Caenorhabditis elegans: one gene and its partners. The protein of the gene in region 3 interacts with the protein of the main gene of each other region in a biochemical or structural test. Each region holds a gene or a part of one and is shown on either strand. Other genes may lie near its edges.

What was found. Proteins that work in one complex are often made in the same cells at the same time.
Region 1: of the proteins of ced-3 (region 3) and cnt-1, one has a biochemical effect on the other in vitro, tested with the Caenorhabditis elegans proteins (2 studies listed by BioGRID).
Region 2: of the proteins of ced-3 (region 3) and ced-9, one has a biochemical effect on the other in vitro, tested with the Caenorhabditis elegans proteins (3 studies listed by BioGRID).

What each region holds. Positions count from the first base shown.
Region 1 is NC_003280.10:12,085,862-12,090,802, forward strand, and holds the start of cnt-1 (Truncated cnt-1), read right to left. Parts: upstream 3,008-4,941; 5' UTR 3,001-3,007; coding exon 2,929-3,000; intron 2,884-2,928; coding exon 2,750-2,883; intron 2,612-2,749; coding exon 2,435-2,611; intron 1,781-2,434; coding exon 1,642-1,780; intron 760-1,641; coding exon 670-759; intron 1-669. UniProt on the Caenorhabditis elegans protein: GTPase-activating protein for the ADP ribosylation factor family. Regulates endosome recycling downstream of rab-10 and upstream of arf-6.
Region 2 is NC_003281.10:10,333,412-10,338,029, reverse strand, and holds ced-9 (Apoptosis regulator ced-9), read right to left. Parts: upstream 2,859-4,618; coding exon 2,607-2,858; intron 2,559-2,606; coding exon 2,298-2,558; intron 1,767-2,297; coding exon 1,617-1,766; intron 1,130-1,616; coding exon 950-1,129; 3' UTR 508-949; downstream 1-507. Other genes in the region: ttr-15 (Transthyretin-like protein 15), read right to left, coding at 13-157; mev-1 (Succinate dehydrogenase cytochrome b560 subunit, mitochondrial), read right to left, coding at 3,040-3,138, 3,192-3,554, 3,666-3,752; jmjd-4 (Jumonji domain-containing protein 4), read left to right, coding at 4,012-4,195, 4,242-4,362, 4,415-4,552, 4,602-4,618. UniProt on the Caenorhabditis elegans protein: Plays a major role in programmed cell death (PCD, apoptosis). egl-1 binds to and directly inhibits the activity of ced-9, releasing the cell death activator ced-4 from a ced-9/ced-4 containing protein complex and allowing ced-4 to activate the cell-killing caspase ced-3.
Region 3 is NC_003282.8:13,198,130-13,206,014, forward strand, and holds ced-3 (Cell death protein 3 subunit p17), read right to left. Parts: upstream 6,009-7,885; 5' UTR 5,938-6,008; coding exon 5,803-5,937; intron 5,740-5,802; coding exon 5,594-5,739; intron 5,316-5,593; coding exon 5,062-5,315; intron 3,874-5,061; coding exon 3,542-3,873; intron 2,630-3,541; coding exon 2,416-2,629; intron 2,362-2,415; coding exon 2,234-2,361; intron 2,161-2,233; exon of another isoform or gene 2,011-2,160; intron 1,880-2,010; coding exon 1,640-1,879; intron 1,164-1,639; coding exon 1,101-1,163; 3' UTR 132-1,100; downstream 1-131.

The sequences.
Region 1 (4,941 bases), on a different chromosome or scaffold from region 3:
AATTTAGAATGCTAAACGGCTAAAAGTTGGAAGTTTTTGAATATTTTAATAAGAAAAATTCAAAGGAAAATGGCTAATATTGAGATGTTTTTTTTTAATTTTTGAGTAAAAAACGGGAAAAAAATTATTTTTGATTTTTTTTTACCAAAACTATAACTACAGTGGAAAAAAGTTTTTTTGAAATTTTTAGTGAAAAATTATAATGCGAAACTGCTAAAAATTGAGAAATTTTGTAATTTTTGAGTCAAAAAACTTTTAAAAAAATTTATTTCGGGCTTTTTCGCAAAATTTAAAATTTCAAAACTCTCAAGTTTTTGAGTTTAAAAATTCAAAAACAAATTTTTTAACAAAGTTCTAATGCATTACAGTTTAAAATAAAATATTTTGAATTTTTAGTTAAAATTTTTTTAAAAATTTTATTTTAATGTTTTTTTTTGGCAAAAGTAAAATGTTAAACGGCTACAAAAAAATTTATAAATTCTTAAATTTTTGAGCAAAAAATCAAGAAATTGATCTTTCTAAAACTCTTACAGCTAAAAATAAAATATTTTGAATTTTTTTCAAATTTTTGGAAAAAAAAAGTTTCCGTTATTTTATGTGATAACTCTCACATTAGCCGAGGGAATTTCTAATTTTTTTAACCAACAATTTTCAAAATTCAAAACGAACCGCATCGAGAATCATATGGTCCTTGTGTGCATGTGCAATATTAATATTTGCCACGTAGTCGAGTGTGGTGTGTGCGAAGCAAGTGCCGACCTGGAAAAGAGCGGGTTTCTTGGTTTGAAAAAAAAAATGTTTTTATTTGTTTAAGGGTTTTTGAGTGGTTTTTCTTGCAATTGAGACGCTTTGTGAGAAACTATTTAAGGTGAAGCAAAAAAAAAAACGACAAAATTGAATGTTTTATATAACCAGAAATTTTGATTTTGTTAAGAACATTTTTAAATTTTTCGATTTATTGTTTAAAAAATAGACTTTTTTTTTCAGAAAATTCTTTTTTTTTCAGTAACATTATTAAATTTTTATCCAAAAATTAATCAATTATTTATTTTAACAATTTCTCGAAAAATAAAATAATCTTGAAAAAAATAAAAAAGAAGATAATATATTTGGAATTTTTTTTACTGTAAAATCGGCTTTTTTTGATAAATCAATATTTCTTTTTTCAAAAAATTGATTGTTCGCTTTAACGATTTTTATATTTCTCGAAAAATATAAATCTTTAAAAAATTACAAAAGAAATGTTTTTAAATTTCTTTTCAGTAAAAATGGGCATTTTTCAAGAAAGTCGATTTTGAATTAGGTTTTTTTCTCTGTTTTTTTTAGTTTTTCGAAAAATTAAATTTAAAAAAAAAATTTCAGTAAAGTTAACATTTTTTTGATGAATCAATAATTTTTGTTGCAAAAATTAATTTACGATTTTTATATTTCTCGAAGAAAAAATTTTAAAAATTTACAAAAAAAAATCACTAAGTAATTTTTTTGGCGAAAAAAAGATATCTGTTTTTTAATTTGTAAAAAAAAATTTCAGTACAATACCTATTTTTAGAAAGAAATTTTTTTCAAAAATTTGGATGAATTTTTTTTTGGTTTTTTATCGAGAATTTCGAATATTTTTCGTTGAAAATTCAAAAAACTCACCGCAGTAAGTGCATTTCGCCCTTCTGTCGCATCTGCAGGCTTTTGCCTTGAAATACTCGCATTTTTGACTAATGCATCATCCATTGATTGGGACATATTCTCAAAATGTGCACGGGATTCTGCCACTTTTGTGAGCTCACTTAAATTAGATTTTAGAGGAAACATTTTTGAATTTTTTTTATTTCGAAAAATCTAATTTTTAATTGAATTTTCAATTTTCTGTTGTGAATTATGCGATTTTTGGTTAAAAACACTTGAATTTTGGCTGGAAATTTATTATTTTTCGAAAAAAATTGCCTTATATTGTTTTATACGTAAAATTGATTTTTTTTTTAATTTGGCGGGAAATTCAACTTTTCAAAAAAGATTTTTTTTTTGAAAAATTACCAAAAAACCCGAGAAAAAATCGAGTTTTGCCTATTTTTTTGCAAATTTTTTTACAGGAATTTTAATTTATTTAATTAATTAATTAATTAATTTTTTCCAATATAGAAATTTTTTTGAAGTTTTCTGGCTCAAAAATTTTTTTAAAATTTTTAGCTCAATCCAAATACCTTTAGTTCAAAAAAAATTAAAATTTTCGATTGTTCAAATTTGTCAATTTTCTGTACCTCTAGAATGAATAATCTAGTAAATCAGCGGGAAATTTGAATTTTTCACCTCTAAATTTAAAGTAAAACGAAATTTTGATTTAAATTCGCTTAAACTCGTTATTTTGTAATTTTCGGCCTTTTTAACTCAGAATTTATCGATTTTTATGATTTTTCGCCAAAAAAAACTCCGGAAATCTCACATTTTAATGAAATTCGACAGTTTCGTGAAAGTGACCACATTTGAATGGTCGAAATACGTGCGAAATAGGTTAACAGTGTGTGCATAGGCTTCTGATAATCCTTGGAATGTTGTAGACGCCAATGGATTGCCGGAGAAGCTTTCATCGCATAATTGATTCACCGAAACCGTTAATTTGCTGGAAAAAACGGGGATTTTTTGAGAAAATTTGAATTTTTGGTTTTGAAACGATTATTTTTCGCTATGTGCCTTTAAAATACAGTAATCTGAAAGCTTAATCGTTTCGAGACCCCAAAAATGAATTTTTTTCACGTACTAAAACGTGTTCGTATAATTTTTGCTGAAATCAATCATTGCAGTGATGTGTCGGAGCATTTCGTTGAGCCGATTCTCTAATCGATTAAAATACATTGCATGTTGAGCGACTGTTGCGCGGAATTTTGGAGAATCCTGCAAAAATTTTAGGTTTTTGGTGTATTTTGAGGGAATTTCTACCTGAATTGCCTCGGAGCAGTCGATTTTTGGCGGAACAGACGGCATCGCCATTCCATTGTTTGATACTGTCATAAAATCTGGAAATTTATCGATTTTATACGAAGAAATTGAGTTTTTTCGGCTGAAAATTGAGAAAAAATAATCAAAAATAATTAATTGATAATATTGCGTCGTCAATTTCAATGCCAAGTATGCAAACACCACAGGTGCACAGAACAAGATCTACCGTACTCTTCAATTAATTAATTGAAGAGTACGGTAGATCTGGTACTGTGCAGCTGTGGTGTTTGCGTACTTGGCATTGAAATTGACAGCACATGTTTATCAATTAATTAATTTGGTTTTTAAAAACGCAATTTTAATAGAAAAAATGTCGAAAAAATGGTAAAAAAACATTTTTCTCTTGAAAATTTTCATTTTTAATAGCTAAAAATAGAAAAATAAACTGAAAACAGTCTTGATTTTAAAAAAATTGCTTAAATTTTTCACTTGAAAAAAATTCAAAAAAGTCTGAAAAGTCCGATTTTTAGAAGAAAAACTAATTTTATCACCATTTTTCTGTACAAAAATTATCGAAACTTATGGAAAATAACAAAATTTTCCCAATGTTAAAATAAAAGTTTTAAGTTTAAATTTTAAAATTAATTTTATTTCCAAAATTTCGCAAAAAAAATCCTATAAAAACGACCAACAATTTTTGGGTAAAAAAACTTTTTTTTTGATAAGTGGCTGTAAATATGCCACGTGGCTTTTGAAATTAAAAAAAAAAACATTTTCAAATGTTTTTTTCAACAACTTAAACTTCCGTATGCGCCTTTAAAGAAAACCAAAAGTCCATATCACTCGCACAATAAAGGAAAAAGAGAAAAATTCCAAGACACGTAACAAAAGCCTCAGAACAGAAAAAAAAAACAGAAAAACAGCCGGTTCTTCTTCTCTCTTGCCGCTACGGCTGCCGCTGATGATGATGGTGATGAACAGGAAAACGAGGGAGAGAAATAGAGAAGAGACGCAGGCAGTTAGACGGCGGGAGAAGAACATCGCGACAACTTTTCGGACGGAGGTCATTGTGTTTGTGGGGGGAAGAAGAAAAGGACGAAATTTTTGGAGAAAAAGGACAGTCGTATATAAACATTCACTGCTTGTTTCTCTAGGAACTCTCTTGATTTTCAATACTCTTTTTTTGTGGAGAGAGCTTGAGAATGAAATTGGGTGAGAGGAGGAGAAGGGGAGGCACCGAGAGCGCAACTAATTTAATATTCTCTTACTTTGCTTTTCTAGGCAGACGAGAAAGAGTTACGGGGAAATTGGAATTTTGCAATGCAACAACATTACACATATGTACACGTGGTACCAGAGTCTTATTTCGGTTTGATCTACGCAGATCTACAAAAAATGCGGGAGTTGAAACGCAGACTTCTCAACTGACTTCGCAAGGTTAAGAGCGTGCTGACGTCACATTTTTTGCGGGAAAAGTTCCCGCAATTTTGTAGATCAAACCGTGTTGGGACAGCCTGGCACCACGTGATTATCCAACAAAAAATACTTTTTTCATCAAAATTTAGTGATAAAATAAAAAAATTTTTTTATCTGAAAATATGTTTTATTTGACTTGGAAACATTGCAAAAAAGCTCAAAAATTAATCGGCAAATCAGCAAACCGGCACATTACCGGAATTGAATTTTCCGGCGAATCGGCAAATCGGCAAATTGCCGGAATTGAAATTTCTGGATAATCGACAAATTTCCGGAATTGAAATTTCTGGATAATCGACAAGCTTGTCGGAATTGAAAGTTTTCGACAAATTGGCAAATTGCCAGAATTGAAACTTCCTGCAAATCGGCAAAATGACAAACAGCCGGAATTGAAATTTCCGGCAAATCGGCAAACCAGGCAACTTGCCGGAATTGCAGTTTTCGGCAAATGGGCAAAATGACAAACAGCCGGAATTGAGATTTTAGGCAATTCAGCAAACCAGCAAATTGCCAGAATTGAAATTTCCGGCAAATCGG
Region 2 (4,618 bases), on a different chromosome or scaffold from region 3:
CTGAAAACTCACGAGTATCTTTCTCCCAAAGGGTAACCTCCGCCTGAATTCTCTTCTTATTACAAATAGTTGTACCCTTGACAGTGATAGTCTGCTTCTTTGCCTCAACAAAAGCCAAAGCCAAAAGAACAACAGAGGTGAATAGTAAAGCACGCATTGTTGTTTTTTGAATCGTGCACTAACGTTTTTTGTTTTATATACCGACAAAATTCAAGGGAATCAAAATGGGCGGAGCCTATCTGATGGTGAAACAGCGATAAGGCGGGGGGATCGTTTACACTAAACAAAAACATTTTTGTTTCGAAAAATTCAAGGCCATCGAATTGACCGTCGTCTCGAGACAGAAGAGGCGAGAAAGATGAATCATTATATTAAAAAATGATATTTTCCTACTAAACTTTTTTGGATGACGTGATGGCGAAAATGAAAACCGGATTCTCTTGCGCACGCCTATTATCAAAATTGCAGTTTCGTTCCGAAAAAAGGGTTGAATAAAAGAACCGTTTTTTTTGTTGTTGTAGAGAGAAAACAATTTGAAAAAAATAAATACAAAGTCGCGTACGCGTACAGGAATTTGGGGGGAGTTGGAAGAGGCCACACGAAAAGAGACAGTTAAAGTGAAGATGAATTATTGAGATACAGGGGTACTTTGGAAATGTGGAAGAGAAGCGGGAGGCTAGGCCACGGCGAGAAAAGTTAGGGTTTCAGGGTTTTTGACGAAATGTACAGAACACGGAAAAGTTGATATTACGCGGAAGTAGGGTTTGGCCAAAAAAAAAGGCAATCGGAAAAAATTGCAGTAAAATCGTAAATCGACACAGAGAGCCGTAATTTGTGGCCTAGCTTTCCCACTTCTTCCAGTTCAAAGGATGAGAGAATCAGTGAGCAAAAATGAGATTCAAATGTAAGGAGTTGTACATAAATTAATTATTTACACAAATTGAATACGTTACTTCAAGCTGAACATCATCCGCCCACACACGACGACTCCAACGATTCCAATGGCTCCAGCTGTTACTCCAGCGCCAATCATCGACCACCGTCTGTTCTGCTTCCGGCGTCCCACTTTTTCAGCTTCTGCTCGTTCGTAGTCCTCTTTCATTTGTTTTCCGAGTGTCATGAAGTCGTCCTGCAATTTTTTTCTTGATTTTTTATTTTCACAAATAATGCTTTAGAGCATATTCCGGGGAACACAAAAATCCGTGAATGCGTATTTCACAACATATTTGAGGCGGAAATATCTCGTAGCGAAAACTACAGTAATTCTTTAAATGCCTACTGTAGTCGATTTACGGGCTCGATTTTTGAAATTAATTTCTTTTGATTAGTGGTTATTTTCTTTAATTGTAAAAATTTTAAAAATTTAAAGAATTACTGTAGTTTTCTCTACTGGATATTTTGCGCGTCAAATATGTTGTGAAATACGCATTCTGCGAATTTTGTATTCCCGTAACAATAACATTATCATAAACAGTAATATACTTGAATATGTTTCCAGCTGTCCCCCCAAGAGGCTACCGAACCCTGTAATTATCGGCTTACCAACACCCCGGGAAGTCAAGGGTACTAGGGAAAGGGGGATATTGACTTCTAATGTCTATGCAAATACTCCTTACCCAGCTCCGATTGTGTTCCTTCCAGTTGTTGCGGATCCGCGTTTTGATGAACAGCGATGTGTAAACGAAGAGGTTTCGCACTTGTCCCTGCAGTTCCACGGATTCCATCATTTTTGCAGCTACGAAACCGCCGAACGAGATTAGACCTATCTGAAAATTAGAAATTTGCAATTTAATTCGTTCATTTCTGGCGGAAAATTAAGCTTAAAAAAACGATTTTTCTGGTTTTTAATGTTCGAAAATTGAATTTTTGGGGTTTTTCGTTCAGCAAATCAGCAGAAAAACCTGTTTTTCGAAGAAAAAAGTTCAAAAATCGAATTTTAATGTATTTTCCACAAATTTTACATTTAAAAACCGATTTTTGATAAATCAGCAGATCTTTTTCGCAAATACAAATCAAGGAAAATATGCTTTAAAAATATTCGAATAGAAAATAACGTTTTTAATCGAATTCGTAAAGTTTTCTGCTAATTTATCAACAAAAAAAATTACAATCCGGGATCAAAATTCGTGGTTTTTTAATGGAAAACTTTCAAAAAAGACACATAATTGGGCTATTTTTGACCAAGTTTTGCTGATTTCCTGAAGGAAAACAAACAATTTTTGCAAATGTTTTTTCTGCCACCTTTCTGGCGAATTTTCGAATTTTTGCAAACTTTTTTTCAGTATTTTCTCCCTTACCAAACGTCCATAAGACATTGGACATTGATCTGTCTGTGCATTTCCAACCGTCCGAACCACATCCTGATACAGTGAAAATGAGATTCTGGGCACTGCGAGCAGCTGCTCACAGAAGGTCTCAAAATTTTCCGCGTGCTTCTTCTCGAATATCGTTCCCATAACTCGCATCATTTCGTGCTCCGGTTGCACTCCACACGGCAATCCCGGTGCTCCAAACCATTCCATTCCGTTTTGCCGGATTCGGTGCGTGAAATAGTCGACCTGGAAGCAGCAGGAAATTTTATTTACAAAAAAAAATTAAAAAATTACCACAAATCCCTCGATATCAAGCCTTGGCTCTTCCCAATCATTGATTTTTCCATCAATTGACTCTCCGATGGACATTCTTCGCGTCGAAGCCTGCCTACTCGGTGATGGCAAGTCCTGAGCATCACTATTGATTCCAAAATCGGTGGGCTCTGTGCCTTTTATCCCCAGAAACTCCTTCATCTCGCCAGTCGCCATCGTTCGTCGCCGATACGCCGGATTCGTCAGCGAGTTGTCCGCCGTGCAGCGTGTCATCTAAAATTTTTATTCGTTTTCATAATCATAATATACATTCTAGACAGAGAAAAAAAAACGAAGAGGAGAGGTAAATCTACGGAAAAGAGAGAAAATCGAAGAAATCAACGGTAAAAGTAAATTGACGAGAATTGTCGAGGGCTGGGGCGGAGTAAGAAAAAAGAAGGCGGAGCATCTGTGCCTAGGCAGTCTTGTTGCTCTTGTTCTGGCAAGAGTTGAAGACAATGGCGAGAGCAAGAATAGCCGAAAGTCCAGATACGAGATATCCCGATTTGTAGATCTGAAAATTAATTTTTATTTTAAAACAATTAAATTAATAATTTCAACTCCTACCTGTCCAACATTATTGACTCCCTTAGCCAAATCGAATCCTAAGAAGCGAATTCCGTTAAGAGTATGGAAAATGATGGGGAAAGCAATGATGTACTTGAAGACAGCGGTCACCGCGCATGGTAAGTTCCAGCTACGGATGAAATCCACAAAAGCGGTGAAATCGAACGGCAAAACTGCGAATCCGATTCCTCCGACGAGAAGGGTTCCGGCCATTACACAACCGCTGATTCTATGGAATCCGGAGAGCATCCAGGTCAATTGTGGCTGGTAGACGGTGAGATGTGGAGCGATTGGGCGATTCTTGGAGCGCTGCTTCAACAGGTATTCCCATCCGAACTTCTGGATTGGCGTCTTTGCCTCGGACTGTGAATATTATAAATAATTAATTGAAAAGAATGTGTCTGTTATACATTTCTCCTTCATGCGTACACAAAAAATCAACAATTTTCACGGAAAAATTCAAAAAATCCCCACCTTGGTGACGATCGATGTTCCAAAGGAGCGGGAAATCGACGATCTGGCGCCCAAGCGGCACAGAATCGCAGTTGGAATGTTAATCATCCTGAAACAATGCTGATTTTCTTATCAAAATTGAAAAAAGAAACAGGGCGGTGCGTTTCAAAACAAGTGTTGAATTTTGTTGCGGAAATGCACGCACAGGGCACGAGAAGTGCGCCAGCAGCGCGTCTCGTTTGAAGAGATGCGTCAGCAAACGACCCGGGCGCACTTTTCGACTTGTTTTTTGTTCTTTTTTTGTTTTTTTTGTTGCATTTTCTGTGATTTTCTTTGAATAATTATTTTTTCCATTGCAAATTTCAAGATGAAATCTAAAATTCCTCGAATTTCTGATCCATCGACTCCATGGCTAGAGATTTTAGTAAAATTCGGCTTCAAAAATGAGCCTTTTATCCTTGGCGAGTGGAGCACTTCTGGCTGGACAGCCGTTAAAGATTGGGTGCTTCCAAATGGACAGCCAAATAAGGAATATTTGAAAAAGTCCTATGGTTTGTCTGGATAGTTTTTTGTTATGAAAATCCCGTTTCGCTCCAGGAGATTCGAAAGTTCCTATTCTTTGCGGAGGAAATCAGTACAAAACCACTACTTTGAAGGAATTTCTGGAAGAAATGGGCGATCCAGAAGTTTACTTAAAGGATTGGCATTTTCAAAACGAGTAGGAGTTGAATTTCAATTCGAAATTGATTTTTTTAAATTAAAATATTTAGATTCGGAACCTCTTCATACTCCTTGCATCCTTTCTTTTCTCGAGATTTTGTAAATTGTGAGCCATGGACTAGTGAGAAATCGGAAAATCCATTTGGTGACGACTATCGATTCGTTTATATCGGAGCTTCTGGATCCTGGTAGCCTTGGAATTTTCTTAAAAATTAGAAATCCCCTCAAACTTTCTAGGACAAAACTTCATTCCG
Region 3 (7,885 bases):
CTTAAATTCAGCCTTTAATTTTTGTGCACATATTCTTAATCTGTAGTACTCACTAGGGAATTGTCAGAAGCTTGCATATCATATATGTGCGAAATTTTATATTAGCTTGTTTCCTTCTTTAATTGTTGATTATTTTTCACCTTTGTTTTGTTAACACCTTGTTTTCTTTTATCTATGTATACCAATCACACACACACAAACATACGGCGAGAAAAGCAACTATAATAATCTATAAATATATAATTATAATAACAAGCTATATAAATCTCAACATATATAAAACTTATTGGGTGCGCGGAGAGGAGGAATCGAAGAAAAACGAGGGAAATATAATAAACGTACAAGAGTATTTTGGAAGATAGCGGGAAATTTGAAAAAATTGAAATTTTGGAAAATGGGGTTTCAAGTAAATTTGTGTTGCTGAAAACTCGAAAAATCCATTTTCCAATATTATTTACTGGAATTTCGAAAATTTTCAAATTCCTATTAGAAAGCTCGAATGGAATGGGCTATGAGAAAGATCTTTGCTGACCAGAATCGGGATATCACGGCGAAAAAAGAATGCAATTTGAGATGATGGGCGGGAAATGATGGGGGGGACCTACAAAATTTTATACATAATTGGCCAAATGTTCCGAACTTTAAAAGGCCGGGAGGCATTCCGGCACGGGGAGAGATGGGAATGCTATTCGTTAATTCAAATATTAGATTTTTTGTGGCGAAAAAATAGGTTAAAATTAATCGAAATTGATTCCCGGCAAAAATGAATATGGTACGGTAGGTTGGTGGGGTTGGGGTGATGATCTATGAAACTATTTTGTTGATAGAAGCATAGTACATACATATATACTGGGCACAACAACTAATCAAATTCAAAACGAGTTATTAAAATTATTATGCGTTCGAGACACAAACGTCATAATTTTAGATTATCGTAGAGAAATGGAAATGTGTGAAAATGGGAAGAGAAATGATAGAATGATAAAGTGAAATGAGTATAGGATAACAATATACACATGGTTTTAAACTAATTGGGCGAAAGAGAACTGGGGGAGAAGATACAGACAATTATCAATTGGGCAATGAATCACGAGTGAATTTTAGACGGCAGAGTTTCGTGCTTCCGGCCAAAAGTAGAACTTTTTGAGCAGGCGGGATGTCATCTGAAATTTAATTTAAATTTTGGGGAAAAATCTAAAACCGATACCCTTGTTTTCAAGCCGCACAGAAAAAGAGGCGGAGCGTCGTTTTGCAAACTTGCCGCGCGCCAACCGTGTAATACTCGTGGACAACTTTGAATTAATTTTTTAAATGAGTTAACAATTTTTGGCTTAAATGCTTGATGTTGATGTATTTTCGCTATTTTTTTTTACATTTAAAAATCGATAAATTTCGTTGAAAAACTACAAATTTTCGTTTTCAGTAAAATCCAATGGCTAATAAACATTTTTTACTGGAAACCCGATAAATAGTGACTATTTCAAAATTTAACGCAAAAAAATTAGCATAAAATATTCAAAATCAATCATTTTAGCTAAAAACTAAAATTCTAGGTTGACGCGCGGCAGGCTTGCAAAAGGACGCTCTGCCTATTTTTCTGTGCCTTAAAAAGTTAGCAGATCGATTGTTGTTCAAGTACCTCTGGCATCTGTTTCAAAATATTCGATCCCTGTGATGTCTGAAATCCACAAGCGACCTTCTTATTGACTTCAGTCAGCAGCTCAACAACATCCATATCCTTTGCGTGTGTCGAGAACACTTCACAGACGGCTTGAATGAACCATGATCCACGAGCACTGTTTCTCCACGAAACATATTGAGCTGTCGTTGCGTATGCAATCAGAATGTCAGCTTGGCTCGGCTTCTTTCTCCACACTTGCTGCAAAAATTTATTAATTATCATTTAAAAATGTTTACAGGACGGGGCTTTCGCTCCAAAGAATATAAAATAATCGGAATATTTTTCGAAAAAATTGAAAAAATCAATTTTTAATTTTCGAAAAGGCGATTTTTAAATTCCCTCTAAACTGAAAACTGCGACCAATCAGCAATTCACTCCGCCCACTTTCAAACCAATCCGATGAAGTGGGCGGAGATCGACGATGCTGATTGGTTTGTCATTTTATCACAAATTTCGTAATTATATCGCAATTTTTTCGTCGGACTTTCTGGAATAAAAATCTATTTTAGATTTTTTGAAGGAATATTCTCATTCAAGAAATTAAATTGCAACCTGAACTTGCGGCCGCACACATCCAAGAAAATTGAACAATGGCCCGTCTCGATTGTCCCATCCACGACGAAGAAATGCAGGAACTCCGTCGACAGAATCCAAGACTGGGAATCCATTGTCACGACGTTCTGAAAATGAATTTATTTAAAATATTTATATTAAAATTAAAATAAAAAACGAACCGCCTCGACAAGCCTGCACAAAAACGATTTTCGGCTTATTCGCCAGACGGGGAGCATTTGCCGCGTTGAGAAGATCATATATCTCGTGTGTACTAATCGGTATATCATCAACTCCAATAATCACATTCTCTTCTCCGTGTGATAGAATCACGAGTATCGCAGAATCTCCGTGTGATTCGTGTTTGGCAAAGTCTCGAATTGTCAGGAGCATTCCCTGGAAATTAAATATCAGTTTACATTAGGAACAAGGCTGGGAAATTTTTTGGGTTTCTTTTGGTATTTTGACGAAAAATTGATTTTTTGGTTTTTGGGACCAAAAAACCAAAAAAAAAATCGAAATTCGACTTTTTTTTTGAATTTTTTGGCTTTTCGAAGATTTCAATTTTACTTTTTGGTGATTAGGAAGGTTTATTGTCCAATGGTGCAATTTTTGCGACAAAAACTACGGTACCTGGTCTCGACACGACAAATTTTTGGTCAATGCAAATGGGGTGTGCGCCTTTAAGGAGTACTGTAATTTCAAACTCTCGTTGCTGTGGATATTTTTAAAATCGATTTTTCATTCTCTTTTTCTCGATTTGTTAAAAAAAATTTTGAAAAATCTAGAAAAAATGTTATAAAACTTTTCTAAATCCTTCATGATTTTTTCAAATTTTGCAAAAATAAACAAATCGGATGAATAACTTTTGAATTTGAATTGTGACGTTGTTTTGATTTTTATTGCTTTTCCGGAGTGGTTTTTAAAGTTTTTAAAAATACATTTCATATTGAAACACCGTTTGCCAATTTTCACAAATTTTAAATTGTGCATTTTTGGATAATTTTGAAAATTCAGAAAATTGATTTCGTGCTATCAAGTTTTGTATGCGGAAAATTGTCTGAAAATTTACAAACGGTTTTTTACATCAAATATTATAGAAAAACTAAGAAAAAACACATAATGTAGCCGGAAAAAACGAAAATTTCGAAACTAGGTAAATCATTTTCGCGGAAGTTCAAAATTTTGTTTTTTGCAAAATTATACATTTTTGCATTTAACACAAATTGTCGTGTCGAGACCGGGCGCCACATTTTCGGCGCAAAAATGGCAAAAATTTCGCGTTTGGGTAATATAATTTCGCCGTACCCTTCCCGTCAGATTGTCCTTGCAAATAACCGTATAGCCCATGCATCTGAACAAATTGGTAAGATTGTCCTTGTCGGCCTTGGTACCATTCCGTGTTGGCATCTGCTCAAAGTGTTCATTATTTATGATGAGGCACATTCCACGAGGACTCGAGAAGTTTCTGTACATGGTTTTCTCGTCGAAAACACGGCTTATGGTTGGTGCATCGACAAAGTTCATATCCTCTTCATGGAATATGTATTGAGTTGGTCCAGAAGCTTTGCTGAATGAGCGATTACGACTTGAACTGTATCCGAGAGAAGAGCATCCGGTGAATGAAGAGTTGGCGGATGCTGAAATGTGTTGGTTTTAGGATCGATTTTGATACCCAAATTTCCTCTTTTTTGACGTTTCGCACATTTTAATTTCGCAATGTTTCATTCAATTATATCCTCTAGAAATTTTGATTTCCCTTTTAATTTTCTACATTCATGTGATGTAGAAAAATGCAAAAATGTATTTTAATGCATTTTTTCAATTTTCGCAGAATTTTTGATTTTTTTCAGGTGTTTCGCACATATTTTTGCTGACTTTCATTCAAGATATGCTTATTAACATCTATAATTATCAATAAAGGTAATATCTTGAAGAAATTTTGGTTTTCGCTCTAATATTCTCTACTTTTTAAGTTGCTCAACGAAAAAATAATGGGGTTAATCATGTGATGTTGAAAAATACAAAAAATGTATTTTAATACATTTTCCCCCTATTCATTTGTGCAGAAAAGTGTAAAAAAACGCATGCATTTTTTACATTATTCGACATTTTTTTACATCGACCGACATCCCATTTCACATGCTGAAGACGAGAGACGCAGAAAGATGTGTGGTATTTCTCCGCGTCTCTCGTCTTCAGCATGTGAAGTGAGCTGTCGTTCGATGTAAAAAATGTCGAAAAATGCATGCGCTTTTTTACATTTTTCTGCACACATGAATAGGGGAAAATATATAAAAAATGCATTTTTCGTCATCATATGAACAACCACATGATTTTTTCGTTGAGCAATTTCAAAAGTAGAGCATACTAGAACGAAAACCAAAATTTCTACAAGATATTCACATTAATGATAATTATATGTGTTAATAAGCATATCTTGAATGAAAAAAATCAAAAAATCTGCGAAACTTGAAAAAAGCGTTTTGGCACATGTTAGATGATTTTTTTTCAAAATGTTTAAAATTCTTTTCAAAATATCTTGAAGCGAAAACTACTGTAACTCTTTAAAAGAGTACTGTAGCGCTGGTGTCTGTTTACGGAAATAATTTATTAATTGATCAAAAATATCAAAAGAAAACACAAAAATGACAAATTAAAATTCGTTGTCACAATTCGAGCATATATTCGTTTCGAAAATCGAGCCCGTAAATCGACACTACAATAGTCATTTAAAGGGTTACTGTATTTTTCGCTACGAGATATTTTGCGCGTCAAATATGTTGAGTAATGCGCATTCTCAGAATTTAGTGTTCGCATCAACATACAAGGTTGGCTGGGAAATGCGTTGACTGGAGGAGATGAATAATTGTGTCGATCCGATGAATGAAGTGCACGCGATCGAGAACGAGATCTTGCTCTTGAGTAGATATCCTGATAAGAAGTGAATGATGACACTGAAGAGACGCTGTCACGGTGAACTCGGGTCGGTGAAGTGTAGCCGGCGGGGCTCAATGCGCGGCTCCGACGATGGCTTGCCGGTGACATTGGACACTCGAATTCGACAGCATTCGAGTCAACACTGGAAAAAAGGGATATTTGAAGGAGATGTGTGTGTGTGTGTGTGACAAGTATTTTCGGCAAATCTACAAAATGGCCTTTTGCGCCACGAAAATTAGTGTTAAAAAATAAATAATCACTCGAGCTTTCAGTAAATAAAATATATTTCACTTCAAATATTTGGGAAAGTGCATAATTTCCGATTTTCGGAGGAAAAAACCGTGCCGGTGGGTTGCAAAATTACGATCCGCCTCTTTTTCCGTGAGACCCTTGCTTTTGCGCCGAACTTTAAAAACCTACGATCTGGCGAGAGGTTCAAGAACTTCAGCAAGTCCTTCGTGTCCCGTAGAGCGAAGAGCATCATAAAACGCGTCGAACGCCACATCTCCCCGTCGTTGCACTGCTTTCACGATCTCCCGTCTCTTCTCGCGAACCGTTCCACATGACTGCAAAAATATTCTTTATATTATCAATTTTTTTTTAAAATTATTATTCGATTAAAAACTCACATTAATCATATCTCCATTATCACTATTCAACACTTGTTTTGCGATGAGAACTTCGAGAATTTCATCGACTTTTAGATGACTAGAGAACATCATAATGTTCCTCTCTAGCAAGCTCCTTCTATCTTGACGCATCATCTTCGGCTGATGGTTGACCTCTCTACTGACCCGTAGTCAGAGTACGATTTGATTTTCGATTTAGTCTGAAAATGAGTGAAATTATTGGAAAAATAGTGTTTTTTTTTAAACATTGTCCTCAAAATTCAGCTCGATTTGAGTAATTTTTATCGATTTTTTTCCTAGTTTTCGTCAAAAACTCCAACAACTGCACTGAACTACGAAAAAAAAGGTGAAAGTCAGTAAAATCGGAAAATTTTGACCCTCTTGAATTTTTTATCTTGATTTCTGGCGAATTTTGGGGTTTTTTTTTGTTAAAATTGTTTTGAATCAGTTCTCTTTTATTTTCGCAAACATAAAACACAATTTTCAATGAGAAATCGTTATTTTTAATTTGAAAACTGATTTTTAAAATGTTTGTTGTGTTTTTGTTTCTGTTTGTCAGCCTGGAAAATATTAGAAAACTGATTTTAAAAATTTTAACAGAAAAATTCACGAAAATTTTAGTAATTGAATTAAAAATGCAAGGAGAATTTAAAAGTCTATCAAACTTTTTGCGTGCCGAGACCCATTGGAATAAATCCGTGCGCCTTTAAAGAGGAATGCCAAAATCTTGTGAAATTATTACGGAAACACAAAATTCAGAGAATGCGTATTACGCATCATATTTGGCGCGCAAAATATCTCGTAGCTAGAACTACAGTAATCCTTTAAATGACTACCGTAGCGCTTGTGACGATTTACGGGTTGTCAAAATTCGAAAAAAAAAATTATTTTCAAAAATTGAGCCCGTAAATCGACACAAGCGCTACAGTAGTCATTTAAAGAATTACTGTAGTTTTCGCTACGAGATATTTTGCGCGTCAAATATGTTGCGCAGTACGCATTCTCAGAATTTTGTGATTCCTTAATACGATAATGTCGAGCCGATTTAAAAGACTTTACCATTTTTTGTAGTTTTCGGTGCTATTATGATAATTTTACGATAAATTAATACTCAAAAATCGGAATTTTAGCGGAAATATTATAAAAATAAGATGTTAGCACACGAAGAGAAAGTGCTGCGAAGAAATCATAAACATTGAGAAGATATTCTTATGGATTGTATATATTGCGTAACAATTTGGAGAAAGTTTTTGGCCGGTTTATTGCAAATTTCGCGGAAAAAAAAGTTTATGATGGGCTCGTAAGCATGCCGATGAGAAAAGAAAGTGGATTGTAGCAGCAGCAATATGAGTCACCCATCTGGACAGTTCACATTTCTAAACGATAATTGAGACGGAGCAGGTGGCATCACGGAAGAGTGTACCGAAAACAAAACCGGGACAAGTTGAGGATACCAAGGACGACAGGAAAATGATGAAATGTGGTACAAAATGAACCGGGCGTTTACCCTGAAAGCTCCTGATCTCATCTAAGATTCCAACCCCGTCATTTGCCTCCATGCACAAATATAATGCGATTTGGATTGTTTAAAGCATTGAAATTGCGACAAAGAGCTATAAAATCGAAAAGAGCATACCAAATGAGATACACACTGCTTTCCTAAGTGGGTTTCGAAGAACACCGCCAAAGAGGTGATGGAGTGGTGGGGCTAAGGAAGAAGGTGCCGGAGAGGTCAAACATGTGGAAATCTTAGGATTGTTTTTGTTTCACATTAATTGCCCTCGTAAATTTATTTTTGGATTTGAGTATCGAAAATCTATGAGCCATGAACACGGAGCGGTGAGGTAAAGGTAAAGGTTTAAAAGTAGTTTTATTAGTAAACTAATCGTTTTTCACATAAACAGTGGTTTTTTTAAACGAAACAATGCAAAAACCAAGGTTAAATATTATAAAATCGACTTCGAGAATCTCAGAATCTTTCTGGCAACAATAAATCGGCGAGCCTTTTCTTCAATTGATGTAATAATTGCTTAGCAACACGTTCAACAAAAAGAACAAAGAAAAAAACGACAAAAGATGACTG